2 linked regions of the Alligator mississippiensis genome follow. The protein of the gene in region 1 interacts with the protein of each later gene in a pairwise test. Links are inferred from orthologs where the notes say so. Each region holds a gene or a part of one and is shown on either strand. Other genes may lie near its edges.

The links. The genes of interacting proteins can lie anywhere in the genome.
Region 2: the proteins of DTNB (region 1) and ZBTB9 interact in binary tests that used the Homo sapiens proteins (3 or more experiments, as listed by UniProt). The two-hybrid records come from large-scale screens. The link is inferred for Alligator mississippiensis from reciprocal best matches to the Homo sapiens genes DTNB and ZBTB9.

Annotation. Positions count from the first base shown.
Region 1 is NC_081824.1:1,020,900-1,028,802, forward strand, and holds the start of DTNB (dystrobrevin beta), read right to left. Parts: upstream 3,050-7,903; 5' UTR 2,936-3,049; intron 1,726-2,935; 5' UTR 1,647-1,725; intron 1-1,646.
Region 2 is NC_081834.1:64,914,209-64,920,632, forward strand, and holds ZBTB9 (zinc finger and BTB domain-containing protein 9), read left to right. Parts: upstream 1-4,131; coding exon 4,132-5,571; 3' UTR 5,572-5,877; downstream 5,878-6,424. Other genes in the region: SYNGAP1 (ras/Rap GTPase-activating protein SynGAP), read left to right, coding at 1,133-1,291. UniProt on the Homo sapiens protein: May be involved in transcriptional regulation.

The DNA of each region.
Region 1 (7,903 bases):
TACAATTAATTACACTGCCTGTATTTACACAATAGCCAATTATTCATATGATAGTATTCAACTTTTCCACACAATTCCTAACTTTTCTATGTTCAAGATGGTCCGTAACATTATACAGCTATCCTTAAAAAAAACCCCTAACAACAACAACAAAAAACCCCAAAAACAACCAACAAAAATAAGCTTTACATACCCAGGACATTCAAAGTTTAATTAAAAAGAAATATTAAGGTATATAAATACATCAGTCAGACTCCCAAACAACAAACTCTGTAACACAGTAAGGACAGAACCACATAAAAAATGTTTTAAAAAAATTATTACAGTTTGGACTAATATGATTTGGGATCACAAAAAACTAAAATAAGATCCTAATTGTATGGGGTTTTTTTGCCTGATGTCATTACATGACAACAAAAGTTTTCTACATCTCTTACCTGATAATACTAGTCTGAATTTTTCAAATGGGTTTGTAACATTTTTGGGGGGATACTTGAAACATCCATGTCCTTTTTGTTTTACTCTCCCTCAACTCAGTATTATGAACTCTGAATTTCAACTCCCTATTTACAAAGATTTGTCTGGAAATATATATGTATACATGTTTTGCATTACTGGCCTATAATTAAAATTGCATCCAAGTCCAGGTGTCCCAGCCTGCAGCGCGCATGCCACAAATGGCATGGGAAGCCTTCCTGTGTAGTGCACAGATCAGGGAGGAAACCAAGGAACACAACAGCAGATAGGACAGAGAATAGAAAGCAAAGGAACAGGTCAAGCAGGGAGCACAGGGCAATGGGAGAAAGCAGAGCAACAGATCAGTCAGGGGTAACAGATAAGGGTGACACTCAGGGTGGATGCAGGGCTTACTTTGTGGCACGCCTGACAAAGATATTTGTCCCCACCGCTGGAGATCAGGTGTGCTTCTAAGTAGCTAGGAGCCAACCGAACATGCAACGAGGGCCACCCCATGATGCCCCACCTTCAAAGCTGTGGGCAGGAAATGGAAGCTGGAAGAGGGAGGGAGAGACCAGCACAGGAGAGCAATGGCGGGGGGAGGCCAGCCACTAAGAGACAGAGCACCAGTTAGACAGGCCTGTTATAGATCACGGTAGCCAGTATCAGCAGTCACACTTTGCAGAAAAATTGAGAACATAAGACATGAAGAAAAGCTTCTCCATCTGAAACTACTAAGGATATTTTGGAGGGAGGTAGTCCAAGCTGAAATGTAGTCAATTGGTAATGCCGAGATTTAGCTTTAAACACTTGAAAACGGTACTTTCAGCAGCACAGTCCTACCCAAAAGGGTGCAATGTTGGGATAATGGTTCAGTTCCAAAGGGAAGAGTGCCACCTACTGAATCAACACTGTCCAGACCATCAAAGTTTTCTTTGCAGGTCTCCTATATCAATATTCATCAGGCCTAACCTTCCCTACCATGGATGTGGCTGCAGGCACTTTTGACATTCTACAAAGAATTTTTCACAGGTCTAGATGTACAAGTCACTGCTCTGTACTAAGCATTTGCCCTGGACGAATTGTTAAATATACATTATGAGACACTAACTCAATAATTTCGTTAATGTATCTGCACCTATGCGCATATATGTTTGATATCACAGGCTGGTTACAACAGTCAGCATTACCTGGATCACACAGGAAGCTTTCTAGGGACAACTTTCACTTTTCTATACACAATTTCCTCTTTGTACTTTTAAAGGCAACCTAAAAAAGGAAAAAGAAATGTTTTGTCCTCTATAAACAAGGTCCGCCATTTTCCCAGCTCACTTTTCACTCTGGAACAGCGGTTCCCAAACCGACAGGCTGCGCACGATACGACCTGAAGTACCGCCAGCAAACTTTTCAGTTCAAGCTTAAGTACCCCCCGGCACGTTTTTGTCATATAAAGTCATTATAATCAGTCTGTGAACAGGTACCACCGGCGGGCTGTCTGCGTTCGCGTGCCGCAGATTGGGAACCGCTGCTCTAGAAGTCTCACGAACGTTACGTCTGCTTCTCGCCACGGGACCCGGTCACGGCTAAGGTGAACCATAGCACGTCGGGCCGGAGGGGACCTCCCGGGGTCGCATCCAGTCCAGCTCCCTGCTCAAGGCAGGATCATCCCAGCCGCGTGTCCGTCCAGCCTGCTCCTCAAAGCTTCCAAGGACGGAGGCGCACAGCTTGTCAGGGCGGACGCGACCTCGGAGGATCGTCGGGTCCAGCCCCCTGAACCCGGCAGGGAAGACACGTGGGGTCAGGCAACCCCGGCGACGGGACCGTCCAGTCTCCACATCTGGACACCCCAAACGTGCAGAAGTGTTCCCTGACGTTGAGCCCGAATCGATGGTCCAGGAGCTAGTGGCCGTTACCCCCGGTTCTCCCCTCGCGTGCCCACTCGCCGAGCCCTCAACGTGGCCCCAGCGCGGCCGTGCGCTGCTACCAGCCCCCGCCCCCCCGCACCTCTAGCCGCCCGCTCTCCTGCCTGACCGCGCTCCTCCTCGGAAAGTTTCACCCCCCCACCCCCCGAAGAGGCTGCTCCCCGCCGCGCCCCGCTCCACCCTCTCCCGAGAAGCGGGGGGGGGGGCGCGCGGGAAGGCCTCAGGGGCGGCTCGGAGGTTTGTATGACACCCAAACCGCGAAATACAGGTGGGGAGCCCCTGGCCTCGCCGCCGAGGGCGCAGGGAGATGCTCTCTTCCAACGCGCCCTGCCCTTGGCGCGCGGGCAGACGCTTCAAGGCGGCCCCGGCAGGTCCCGTCCCTTCCCGTCCCGCCATGGTGTTGCACGACGAGAGGGCAGCTGGACGGGGCGGGGGGAGGGGAGGGGCAGGACGGGTTTGGGGGGGGGGCCCAGGCCGCAGCCCCCACCCCCCCTGGCGCAAGGGGACGCCCCGAGCCCGCACCGCCCCGCCCCGCCCCGCCCCACATCCGCACTCACGTTCCCCGGCCGGCGGCCCGGGGGCAGCGGAGCAGGCGGCCGCGCCGTCCCCGTCCTCTGCGGAAACCGCCTCAGCCGCTCCGCTGCGCTGCGCTGCGCTCCAACGGTCCCCGGCCGCCTCGCGGGCTCCAGCCAATCGCGGCACGCCTCCGCAGGGGCGCGCGCGCACCGACCAATCCGGGGCGGCGGCTGCCTGCCCCTCCCCGCCCCCTCTGCCCGCTCTAGCCAATCCGCCGGCAGCGCTGGCCCAACCCCTCCCCCTCCTGCTCCTCCTCCTCCTCCCTCCCGCCCCGTGACGCTCCTCCGGCCAATCGGCGACGCGCTCCGTGCGTCGCGTGCGTTCCCGCGAGCCCCCGGCCAATCAGCGAGCACCTCCATGCGCCCCTCGCCCCCAGCCAATCATCGGCGGCCGCCCCTCGCCCCCAACAGTCGCCTGCGGCCCCCTCGCCTCCTCCGCAGCGCGCAGGCGCAGTAGGGGGGCGTGGCTCTGAGGGGACAGGCCTTGAGTGTTTGTGGGCTGTGAGAGACGTGGATACCTATAGATGTACACGTATAGAGAGATACATACATACATACATACATAGAGGGATATACATGTATGTAAAAGACCTCAGTCAGTCACATCCGCAAAGTGCAGAATTTAAGAACAACGCCAAAAACTGTGAGATTTGGCAAGTGCTGAAATGGAGGTTTCCCCTCAGCTTCCAGGCCGTGGGGGCCACGTCGTGCTTCACCGAGCCTCTCCCACCTGCCTCCCGGGGTCGCGCCAGGACCCGTCTGAGGGCAAAGCGCGCTCTAGGCCTCGGCCTGCCTGCGGACAGCTCCGAACTGGGCCCGGCGCAGGCTGGCGGGGCGCCAAGCCCGGGGGTCAATGTCGCCCCTTGCGCAGGACGAAAGAAGACGCGCTTGCTGCCTAAAACGAGGCTTGACGGGCAACCGGGAGTCCGGATCGCGATGACGTGCGGAGGCCCTAAGCGACATCCCTCTGAAGAGGCCCCGCACAATAAAAATAATCCACGAAATCGGATCTTCGTGACATTTTAAGATGAATTATTGTTATTTCTGCACAGGTTTATGACCTCGGTATGAAAAATAACTGTGGCGCCGTGAGGACTACGTGCATTAGCGTTCTACGGATGCGTGTTTGAGTTTGAGCCCTGCCCGCGGCAGCTTTCGGAGCACGTTACACACCTGTTCGATAGCCTCTGCCCGCAGTTTCCCCAGCTACGTTTTGCAAGTTTTGCCTCAAGGCTAAAACTGATGGTCCGACGGGTATTTGTAAGCACTTTCAAACCCATTTGCAGGCTCCAGTTTCACTCTAGAAGTAGCGTTGAAGACATAAGCATTAAATAGATGAGGATAAAAGCCTCAGGTAAGTATTTGTATTTTTCACACTCTTCTTGAACAACGGGGCCAAGTGAGGGAAGGAATTAATCTCGTCAGATGTGGCAGGAGGACTGATAAGTCAGACCAGTACACAAGTGTTCAAAAGGATATGAAGAGGGGCAGAGCGAGGTGTGAGGACTTCATTTCTGCCCCCACACCTGTATGTTGCATTTCAGTCCCCCTTCCAAAAGCTGAAGTGCCGAGACCAGTGAGGAATGGGAATGGGAACGTGGCAGGCACTCGGTGCTGAGATGGAGCGAGGGGCTGCAAACGGGCATGTCAATTGCCTGATGGTACACAATGCTTAGATCACAGCTGGGAACTGAAAAAGGGGAAATCTGATACAGGGCCCAAACACAGAATGAAAGGCAGCACAAGAACTCCCATTGAAACGAATGATTCAATTCCTGCGTCCCTAAGCAACTTCTTCATTCTGTTTCCATTTCCAAAGGGGCGTTATTCAGGAGAGAACAAATCCCTGGAGTAACTGGGCCACTTCATGCTGGTTTGAGCCTCTGATGCTGCAGATGTAAACGTAGAATTCCTTTATGTGCTAAGGCAAGATTTGGCATAGGAATTTTACAGATCCAGCCCCAGCTGGTACGTGTCCTAAAATAGCACCATCACTTTCTCATGGCTCCTTCAAGTTTAACAGGAAAATGGATCATGGAGGAGAAAGGTCTGGTTGGGTGGTCACAGAGCAGCACATGGGTGCTGGAGTGGTCAGAATCACGTGTGGTTGTCATCAGCAGCAATTCCTCGATTCAGTGATGATCTCTACCATGGCTCATTGACGGGTTTGAGGTGACATAAGAGTCCAGTGCTTGAGCCACAAATCCATCCACAGAAGTTGCAGGTCTTTCCACAGGGGAGAGTAGGCTGCAGGCAAGGATTTCTCTCCTTTTCCTTTCTCTGCACTCTCTGCTTTGAGAGCAAAAAACTTTACCTCAAAGTGGGCTGCCACTTGGTTGAGGTTAAGGTGTCATTGGGGTCAGTTGGCAATCAGCTCCTTCCAGCTTTTGATGTCAGCTCCTTACTGAATCATTCCCAATGATTATTGTTAGCTCCAGCAGGCAGAGGAAAGTTCGCATTGTACAGGTGTTTTCTTTTCTGGTTTTCTGAAATCTAAATTTGCATTGCCTTAACTTGGTATTTCTTGGTCTTGAGAGGTTTTAGTCCATCACGTCACATCACAGTGGCAACTTCATAGTTTCATAGTTGGTTGGGTCAGAAGGGACCTGAGCAGATCATCAAGTCTGACCCCCTGCCATGGCAGGAAAAAGTACTGGGGTCAAACGACCCCAGCAAGGTGTTCGTCTAACCCCCTCTTAAAGACCCCCAGGGTAGGAGCCAGCACCACTTTGCTAGGAAGTTGGTTCCGGATCCTAGCTGCCCTGACTGTGAAGTAGCGCCTCCTGATGTCTAGTCTGAATCTGCCCTCTGCCAGCTTGTGACCGTTATTTCTAGTCACTCCTGGTAGTGCTCGGGGAAACAGGGACTCCCCCAATGCCTGCTGGTCCCCCTGACAAGTTTGTAACAGGCCCCTAGATCCCCCCCTCAGCCTTCTCTTGTGGAGGCTGAAGAGGTTCAGGTCCCGTAGCCTCTCCTTGTAGTGCCTGCCCTGCTGCCCCCTGACCATGCAGGTGGCCCTCCTCTGGACCCTCTCCATGCTGTCCACATCCCTCCTGCAGTGCGGTGCCCAGAACTGGACGCAGTACTCCAACTGCGGCCTGACCAGTGCTGCATAGAGGGGGAGGATCACCTCCTTGGACCTGCTCGTGATGCATCTGTGGGTGCACAAGGTGTGGTTGGCCTTCCTGACCGCGTCCAACACTGTCGGCCCATGTTCATTTTGGCATCAATAATGACTTCAAGGCCCTTTTCTGCCTCTGCACTGACGAGAAGGGAGCTCCCCAGCCTGTAGGTCTGCTGCTGGGTCTTCCTCCCCAGGTGCAGCACTTTGCACTTGTCAGTGTTGAAACCCATCCTGTTCTCATCTGCTCACCCCTGTAACCTGTCTAGGTCTGATTGCAGCCTATTCCTCCCTTCTAGCATGCCCACATCCCCCCACATCTTAATGTCGTCAGCAAATTTGAACAGGGTGCTTTTTACCCCCTCATCCAAGTCGCTGATGAAGATGTTGAACAGCGCGGGTCTGAGGACTGATCCCTGGGGGACCCCACTGCCCACATCCCTCCGGGTCGAAAACGACCCGTCCACCACCACTCTCTGGGTGCGACCCTCCAGCCAGTTAGCGACCCTATTGACTGTGTAGGTGTCGACGCCACAGTCCCCTAGTTTTTTAATGAGAATGGGGTGAGAGACGGTGTCGAAGGCCTTCCTGAAGTCCAGAAAGACTACGTCCACTGCTACCCCTGCATCTAAGGATTTTGTGACCTGGTCGTAGAAGGCCACCAGGTTGATCTGACAGGACCTGCCTCTAATGAACCCATGTTGGTTGCCCCTAAGCATAACCTCCTCTGCCGGCCCCTCATGGACATGCTCCAGAATAATTCCATCAAAAAGCTTACCCAGGATCAAAGTAAGACTAACGGGCCTATAGTTTCCTGGGTCCTCCTTCCTCCCTTTTTTGAAAATGGGAACCACATTGGCCCTTTTCCAGTCCTCTGGCACCACCCCAGAGCACCACGAGTGCTCGTAAAGCCATGCCAGGGGTCCCGCAATGACTTCTGCCAGTTCCCTCAGCACTCTGGGGTGGAGATCATCAGGACCAGCTGATTTAAATACGTCCAGTCCCTCCAGAAGTCCCCTGACTAGATCCTCACTGACCCTAGGCCTGATTAATTTGCTGAAGTAGAAGGCAAAGCAATCAAATTCATACTTTCTCCAAACGGAGAACCTGGGCCAATTTTCAGACATCCCCATCTGAAATTGTTGTTTAAATTAGTATTGAGGCATTTTGTTGGTGATTTAGACGCTGCAGTTTGAATGGTGGTCTTATTTTTAAGAGATTTTCCGAAGTTTAAGTTGTTTAAAGGAATGCCAATGACTGGGATGTGGCTTTAGGGCTGTTCTTCTCAAGAGATTTAAGACATTTAATTGTGGGCTGCAAGAAAATGTATATGTCTGATTAGGATTCACAGCTGTAATTTCTCATGGAGTTAGGTGTCAAAGCCTTTCTTCAAAAAAAAAAAAAAAGGCAGAGGAAGAGGAGGTGTCCCCTTTTTTACCTAATAGTCCGGTGTTAGAGCACTTATATGGGATATAAGAGGCTGGGGTTTACCTGACAGGATTTAAACTCATGCCTAGCATCCCACACCAGAACATCTATAGTTTGATTGTTAGAGTATTTTCCTGGGAAGTGGGTGATATAGAATCAAGTCCTCTCAGAAAAAGAAGCGACTTGAACTTGAGTATCCCACATCCTAGAAGAGTGTCCTAACTACCAGGCTACAAAGTAAAAGGAAGTGGTAACGGGAGATTAGACGTCACAGATGTGAAATAATCCTTCTGAATGTGAACAAAGCATAAGCCAGTGCAAAAATGGATGTACCTATGGATGGCCTCTATGCGAATAGAGGTTCATGCTAGCACATCTCAATGTTGGAGCAGAGCCTAGAA
Region 2 (6,424 bases), on another chromosome or scaffold:
CAGAGGGAGGACATCCTTGTGCCTCTGCCCCCCTGACTTTTGGAGGTTCCTGGTTCCCTAAGGCTTGGTTGCTGGGGATGGGGTGTCTGTCTGTCTGTCTGGGGGGTGCAGGGTGCATGTCATGGGATGTGTGTGCGTGTCCCTGTCTGGTGTGACTGTTGGGGACAGGGTGGGGGTCGGCGGGCTGTGCGATTCCAGCAGTGGCAACACAGTCCCCTGTCCGGAGAGGGCACCCCTGGGGGGCCCCTTGGTGCTGGATGACTGGCGTGAGAGGTCAGTGCCCAGGCTGGGCAGGATGGGCCGAGGGCTGGGGGGCCGGGGCAGCTCTTAGTATCAGAGATGGCTGGGGGCCCTGGGTGGGGGAAGGGGACAGCATGGCTAGACCTCATCTGTGCCCCTACCCTACCCTGCCCAGGCAGACAACACCTGGCGCCGCAAGGCGGGGGAGAACCTGGGACCTCAGTGCAGATGGGCGAGCTGGTGTTGGCACCATGTGGCATCTCCCTCGCAGGGGTCTGGGTCTGCCCAACGTGGTGTGGTGCTCCCAGGCCACCTGGGCCGTGGGCTGCCGGAGCCACTCCTCCTGGGAGGGCTGGCATCTGTGACCTGTACGGGGCGTGCAAGGCCGAGGGCAGTGCAGGTTGGCCCCCCAGCCGTTAGGCCCACCCCCCGGTGCTTGCCACTGGCTGCTAACTCTCAAGTCCCTAGGTTCTGGCAGCGTGTGCTGAGCTGCGTGCATTTTGCCCTTGTCTCTGGGGCCAGGTGGGGAGCAGACCTTGCATCTCCTGGGTCCTCCGCTCCGCCCAGAGCCTGCAGTCCTCATGCCCACTGCTGGCATGAGGCACCGTTTCCTCAGGGCACAGGGCTTGCATGAGTTCCTGCTGAAGAGTCCTGCCAGGTGCCGCGCCTTGCTGTGTCCCCCCGGGGAGCAGGGCCCCAGCATTCCTCGTGGGCTGTGGGCCTGGCCTGCAGCGTGTCCCTGCGAGGCAAGGGGAGCCCGGCCATCCAGGACAGCCTGTGGCGGAGGGCCTCAGGCGCGGCCGGGGCCCAGTGCAGAGCGGGTGGGGGCGGCGTGGCCATGTCCCGTGTGCCGTTAATAAATAAGCCCGTGCTCTGCATGTCTGCGTTGCAGGAGAGGCAGCTTTCCGCCGTGGGTGCAGCAGACTCGCGTGTGAGCGGCGCCCTGGGGCCGCCCTGGAACGGGATGCTGCCCGCCCAGCCCCCGCCTCCGCCCCCGCGACTCCAGATCACGGAAAATGGAGAGTTCCGCAACACCGCTGCTGAGCACTAGCCACTGCCCCCGCGGGATGTGGCGCCGGGCCCCGCGCCGGGCGGACCCTCCCTGCCCGCCGCTGCCGCCCGCACGCCCGCCCGCGGCTCTGGGGGCGCAGCAGAGACCCTGGCCGGGACATGGCGCCCTCCCCCTCGGCCCCCGCATCGCAACCGAGCAAGCAAGCAAATAAACCCGCCCTCTTCTGGGGGGAGGGGCCCCCCACTCCTGCCCCCCTTTGCGCACCAGCCCCTGCCCTGCCCCTGCCCCTGCCCCAGCCCCCCATCACGCCGTCCCTCGGGGAACGGTGCGACTCTTCAAACACAACTTCAGGGTGTTTTATAGCAGGACACAGATGACAATCTTACATCCACCCCTCCCCACCACCTGCCCCGACGCTCTCCCCTTGGCCCCCCCACCCCTCGTCTATCTCAGGAGTGCCCCCTACCCCATGGCAGACTGTCCATTGAGTTGCCCCCTGGGGGCCCAGGTGTCTATGCCTTGGCCGGGGGCGAAACACCCCACCCACCCCACTGCCTCTGAGCTGCCTCATTGCTGGGGCATGGGGGAGTGTAGCGCCAGGCTGAGCCCCAGGGAGACTGCCTGGGGTGAAGCTGTGGGCTTTGGGGGGTTGTGAGACCTGCCAGGGGGGCCTGGCTGGCTCCGGCTCCCCTGGGCATGGGGCGGGAAGAGGGTCCTGATTCTGCCCCTGCCCCCCCAGCAATGGGGAGTGTGGGGACAGGTGCCCGTGGCTGGACCGAGGATCCTAGCACTGAGGCCCTGGGTCCTGTCCCTGCCCCTGCCCCAAGATTCCCCTGCAAACCTGCCCCCGCCCCTTCCCTGCAAGGCAGGGTGACCCCCGTCCCTGGGGAGCCTCCCCTCTTGCTGGGGGCAGTGCTGGGCTCTGCCCCCGGCTCGCCCTGCCACCCCTGCCCCGCCTGGCGCCGGTGTGGGGGGAGGAGGGTCTCCCACGCCGCCGCCTGCCCCAGCCCTGCTTTCTGTGCTCTCTACTCCGACAAAGGGCTTTGCCTGCTCAGCGCCCACCCGCCCGCGGCCTGGCCAGCGCCCCCGGCCCCCGGACACGGACACTGGGCTGTAGCTGCCTGGGGGAGACGGGGCACCACGGGAGGGGCTTTCTCGTTCTTTCTTTCTTTTCTTTCTCCGTTTCCTCCCGGTCTCGAGACGCCCCAGGCCCTGCCCCACGGGGCGAACGTGGGGGCAGGGGGGGAACGCGACCACCGACCAACCAACGGGAAATCTTGAAGAAGCCATTTCTCTGCCCACCCGCCAGCGCGGGCACGGGCCCTGGGTGGGGGTGGGGGTGGGGGGCGCCGGTCCTACCCCCTGGCCTGAGCACGGAGAACTGGAGGGGGCCTGTTGTGGCTGTTCGCCGTCGTGCTATGGTCCGACCTGCTGGGTGAATGTGTTCAGCGCAGTGATTGTACTGGGTGTTTCTTTGCTGTTTCTGTGTCTCTATTTCAGACTCCCGGCTAGGGCCACCCTCGCCCTTCACCGGCCCCCAGCCCCTCCTCCCTGTGGTCCATATTTCTTTTGTAAGGCCTCACGCCTGCCCTCCCTCCACCGCCCTCCCCCCCCCCCCCATCCCGGACGAGGGCGGCGCCGTGATATTTATACGTATTAATTATTATTATTATTAATGATTATTATTATTATATAAAAGTTTGTACATATGTGAAATTTTCTCGGCTCCCGCCCCTCCACCCGGCCGCGCTGCCCCTCTCCCCTGCCCGTCCCTGGGCTGGGTGCTGTAATTACCACCGGATTTGTACTGTACATAGACCTCTCTGGACCTCACTCTCTGTACATAGCCCGCCTGCCCCCCCCGCCCCGGGAAGGGAGCTCAGGTGTGAGCCCGGCGCCCGCTGGTGCCCCCGGGCCTCTCTCTTCTTTTCTTTTTATTATTCCGCCCCCCCGGCCCTTTTCTTTCTTTCTTTCTTTCTCTTTCTTTCTTTCCTTTTTTTTCTGGAGTGTGTGGTGACAACATCGGAAACAAATGAAAATGTTTAATAAAAAGCGATTGTTCTTTTACGCCGCCTCGGCCCCGGGGTGCTCGCGGCAAGGCCGGGCCGGGGGGGCGGCGGGGCGGGGCGGGGGCCCGTGCCGGGGGCGACTCACGCACATGTCCGCTGGGCCGCGCGGGGAGGGGGCGTGGCCAACCAAAACCCAGCTCGGCAAGAAGCTCGAGAGGCCCTGCGATTGGCTCCTTCTAGCCAATCAGGTCTCAGGTGCTGGGAGCTGGCGCCCCGCCCTCCGGCGGTGGCGGCGCTGGTTGGCTGGCGGGAGGAAATGGCTGTCCGCCGGGCTGGGCGCTGGTAAGCTTGTGGAGGGGGGGGTTAGTTTCTGGTTGGCCGCCTGCGGAGCGGCGGTGGCGGGCGCTCCCGAGAGAAGCCCGGCGCGTGGGATACATCGTGGTCGGTCGCGTAGGGCAGGGCAGGGCAGGGCGCCGGGGGCTGAGCCCTGCAGCAGCGGCGGCGGCACGGGCGGCTCCCGCGGTGGAAGCGGCCTGCCTGGGGCGCTTCTCGGGCTCGGCCCGCGCGGGGCAAGGCCGGGTGTTTCCTGGTGTTGAGTGCCGGTCGGCCCGCGGGGCGGGGCGGGGCGAAGCGGTGCCCGGGGTTGAGTGCCGGTCGGCCCGCCCGGAGGGGCGGGCGCTTCCCAGGGTTGGGTGCCGGTCGGCCCGCGCGCGCAAGGGAAGGAAGGGGCGGGGCGCTTCCCGGGGTGGGTGGGCTGCAGTGGGCCCGCGGGGGAAGGGGCTGGGCGGCGGAGCGGGTGCGGGCTCCGGTGGCAGCGCTGCCCGGCGTGCCGTGCCCGGCCCGGCCCGGCCCGGCCCGCCCGGCGGCGCGATGGAGGCGGCGGCGCGCAGCGTGCAGATCGAGTTCCCGCACTTCGCGGCCGCGCTGCTGGAGACGCTGAACAAGCACCGGCTCGAGGGCAAGTTCTGCGACATCGCGGTGCACGTGCAGGGCCGCGTGTTCCACGCGCACAAGAGCGTGCTGGCCGCCGCCTCGCCCTACTTCCACGACAAGCTGCTGCTGCAGGACACCAGCTGCCTGGCGCTGCCCAGCGTCATCGAGCCCGACGCCTTCGAGAACCTGCTGCAGCTCATCTACTCCGGCCGCCTCAAGCTGCTGGTGGAGGCGCTGCCCAGCCACCTGCTGGTGGCCAGCGGGCTGCAGATGTGGCAGGTGGTGGACCAGTGCTCTGCCATCCTCAAGGAGCTGGAGGGCGGCCCCTACCGGCCCTGGTCCAGCCGCGCCAGCGAGAGCCAGTCCCCCAGCAGCAGCAACTACTTTGCGGTGAAGGAGGACGGGGAGCTGGGAGGCGGCGGGGAGCGCGGCATGGCGGCTGTGGCCCGCGGGGTGCCGGGCTGCCCGGACGATGAGGTGATGAAGATCCGGGTGTCCCATGAGGAGGAGGAGGAGGAGGAGGAGGACAAGCACCCGGCCGGGATCTGCAGTGGGTCCCTGGACAAGTCCATGAAAATCGTGCTGAAGGATGATGAGGAGGTCGGGCTCGGCGTCTCCAAGGGCCCGGCCTCCGCTGAGCCGGACGGCCCCTTCCCCAGCCCTCGAGACCACCCCAAAATCTACTACATCAAGCAGGAGCGCTTCGACCCAGAGGAGGCTGCAGTGGCGGCGCTGGGTGGTGGGGCCGGGGCTGTGGGCGAAGCCTGCTTTCTCAAGTCGCTGGCACAGGGCCGGGCGCTGGGCATAGCCGAGGTGCACGGCCTCTACCAGGCCAGTCTGCCGCCAGGCAGCAGCAGCGAGGTCAGCTACATTATCCCGGCGGCAGGCAGCACTGCCACCAGCGCTATCGCCTCCTCCTCCTCCTCGCTGGCCGCCCCCGGCTTCACCATCAAGGCCCAGCCCCTGCCCTCGGACGAAGTCGGCTTCCCCCAAAGCTCCTGGAAGCCGGTGGACCTGCACGGCAACGAGATCATTGCGCACACGGTGCACGGGCAGGTGGTGCACGCGCCGGTCAAGATCGTGGCGGCGCCTGACGGGAAGAAGTTCGGCTGCCTGTGTGGGAAGCGCTTCGCCGTGAAGCCCAAGCGGGACCGGCACATCATGCTGACCTTCAGCCTGCGCCCCTTTGGCTGCTCCGTCTGCAACAAGAAGTTCAAGCTCAAGCACCACCTCACCGAGCACATGAAGACGCACGACGGGAACCTGTACTCCTGCGAGGACTGCGGGCGCAAGTTCCGTGTCCAGAACTGCTTCCTCAAGCACAAGGAGCTCTGCAAGGGGCAGGGCTGGGCCACTGCCTGCTGGACCTACAAGTAGACTGGGGCGGGCGGGGACAGCCCCGCGCCACATCCCGCCAGGCCGGGCCCTGCCTGACCGCTCTGCCCCCCATGCCTTTGGGTTCCCGGCCCCGTGGCCGGCGCCCTGGTGCTGGGGCACGTGGGAGCTGGCGATTTGGGCCCTGCGGCTTCAGTGCTGCGATGCTGGCCCCGGGAAGGAGGTGGTGCAGGGCGGTTGGGAAACACTAAGGGGGTAGCTGTGGGTGGGGGAGGGGGGAGCGTGTGCAGCCTTGTGCCAACCCGTTCTTGTATAAACAGTTGCAGCCCGGCGTGGGGCCGTCCGGGATCTGTCTGTCGGCCTCGTCTGTCCCCCGCGGGGGGAGGGGGCAGAGCGGCCTGGGGCCGGGGCCTGTGTTGCCCTCACGGCCTCCCCGGGGCAGCGGGGCGGGCTCGGCCGGGGGCTGCCCCGACCTGGGGGCGGGCTCGGGCGGCGCAGCCTGGTGGCTGTGACCTGCCACATGACCAACGTCCGTGCCCCTGGCCCTTGGCGTGCGTGACCTCCTGGGGGCGGGAGGTGGGTCGCGTGGCTACGCCCCCTGCCCCTTTGGCCGACACCGAGGCTGATTGGGCCGGCCGCGGAGGGCGGAGAGGGGTGCCGGCCAATCGCCCCGCAGCGGAAGCGGCCCTTCTTGCCAATCCGGGCGGCGGGGCCCGGGCAGGGAACGCGGCCGGGGGGCGTTGCCCTGCGTGGGCCAATGGCAGGTGAGCGGTGGGGGGCGCGAGCGGAGGGAGGCGCGCAGCCAATGGGCTGGGGGCGGCAGTGACGTAACGGGGGGAGCGAGGTTTGAAAGCGGCGCGCGCTCGGGCTGGGGGCGGGGCCGCGTCGCCCCGGC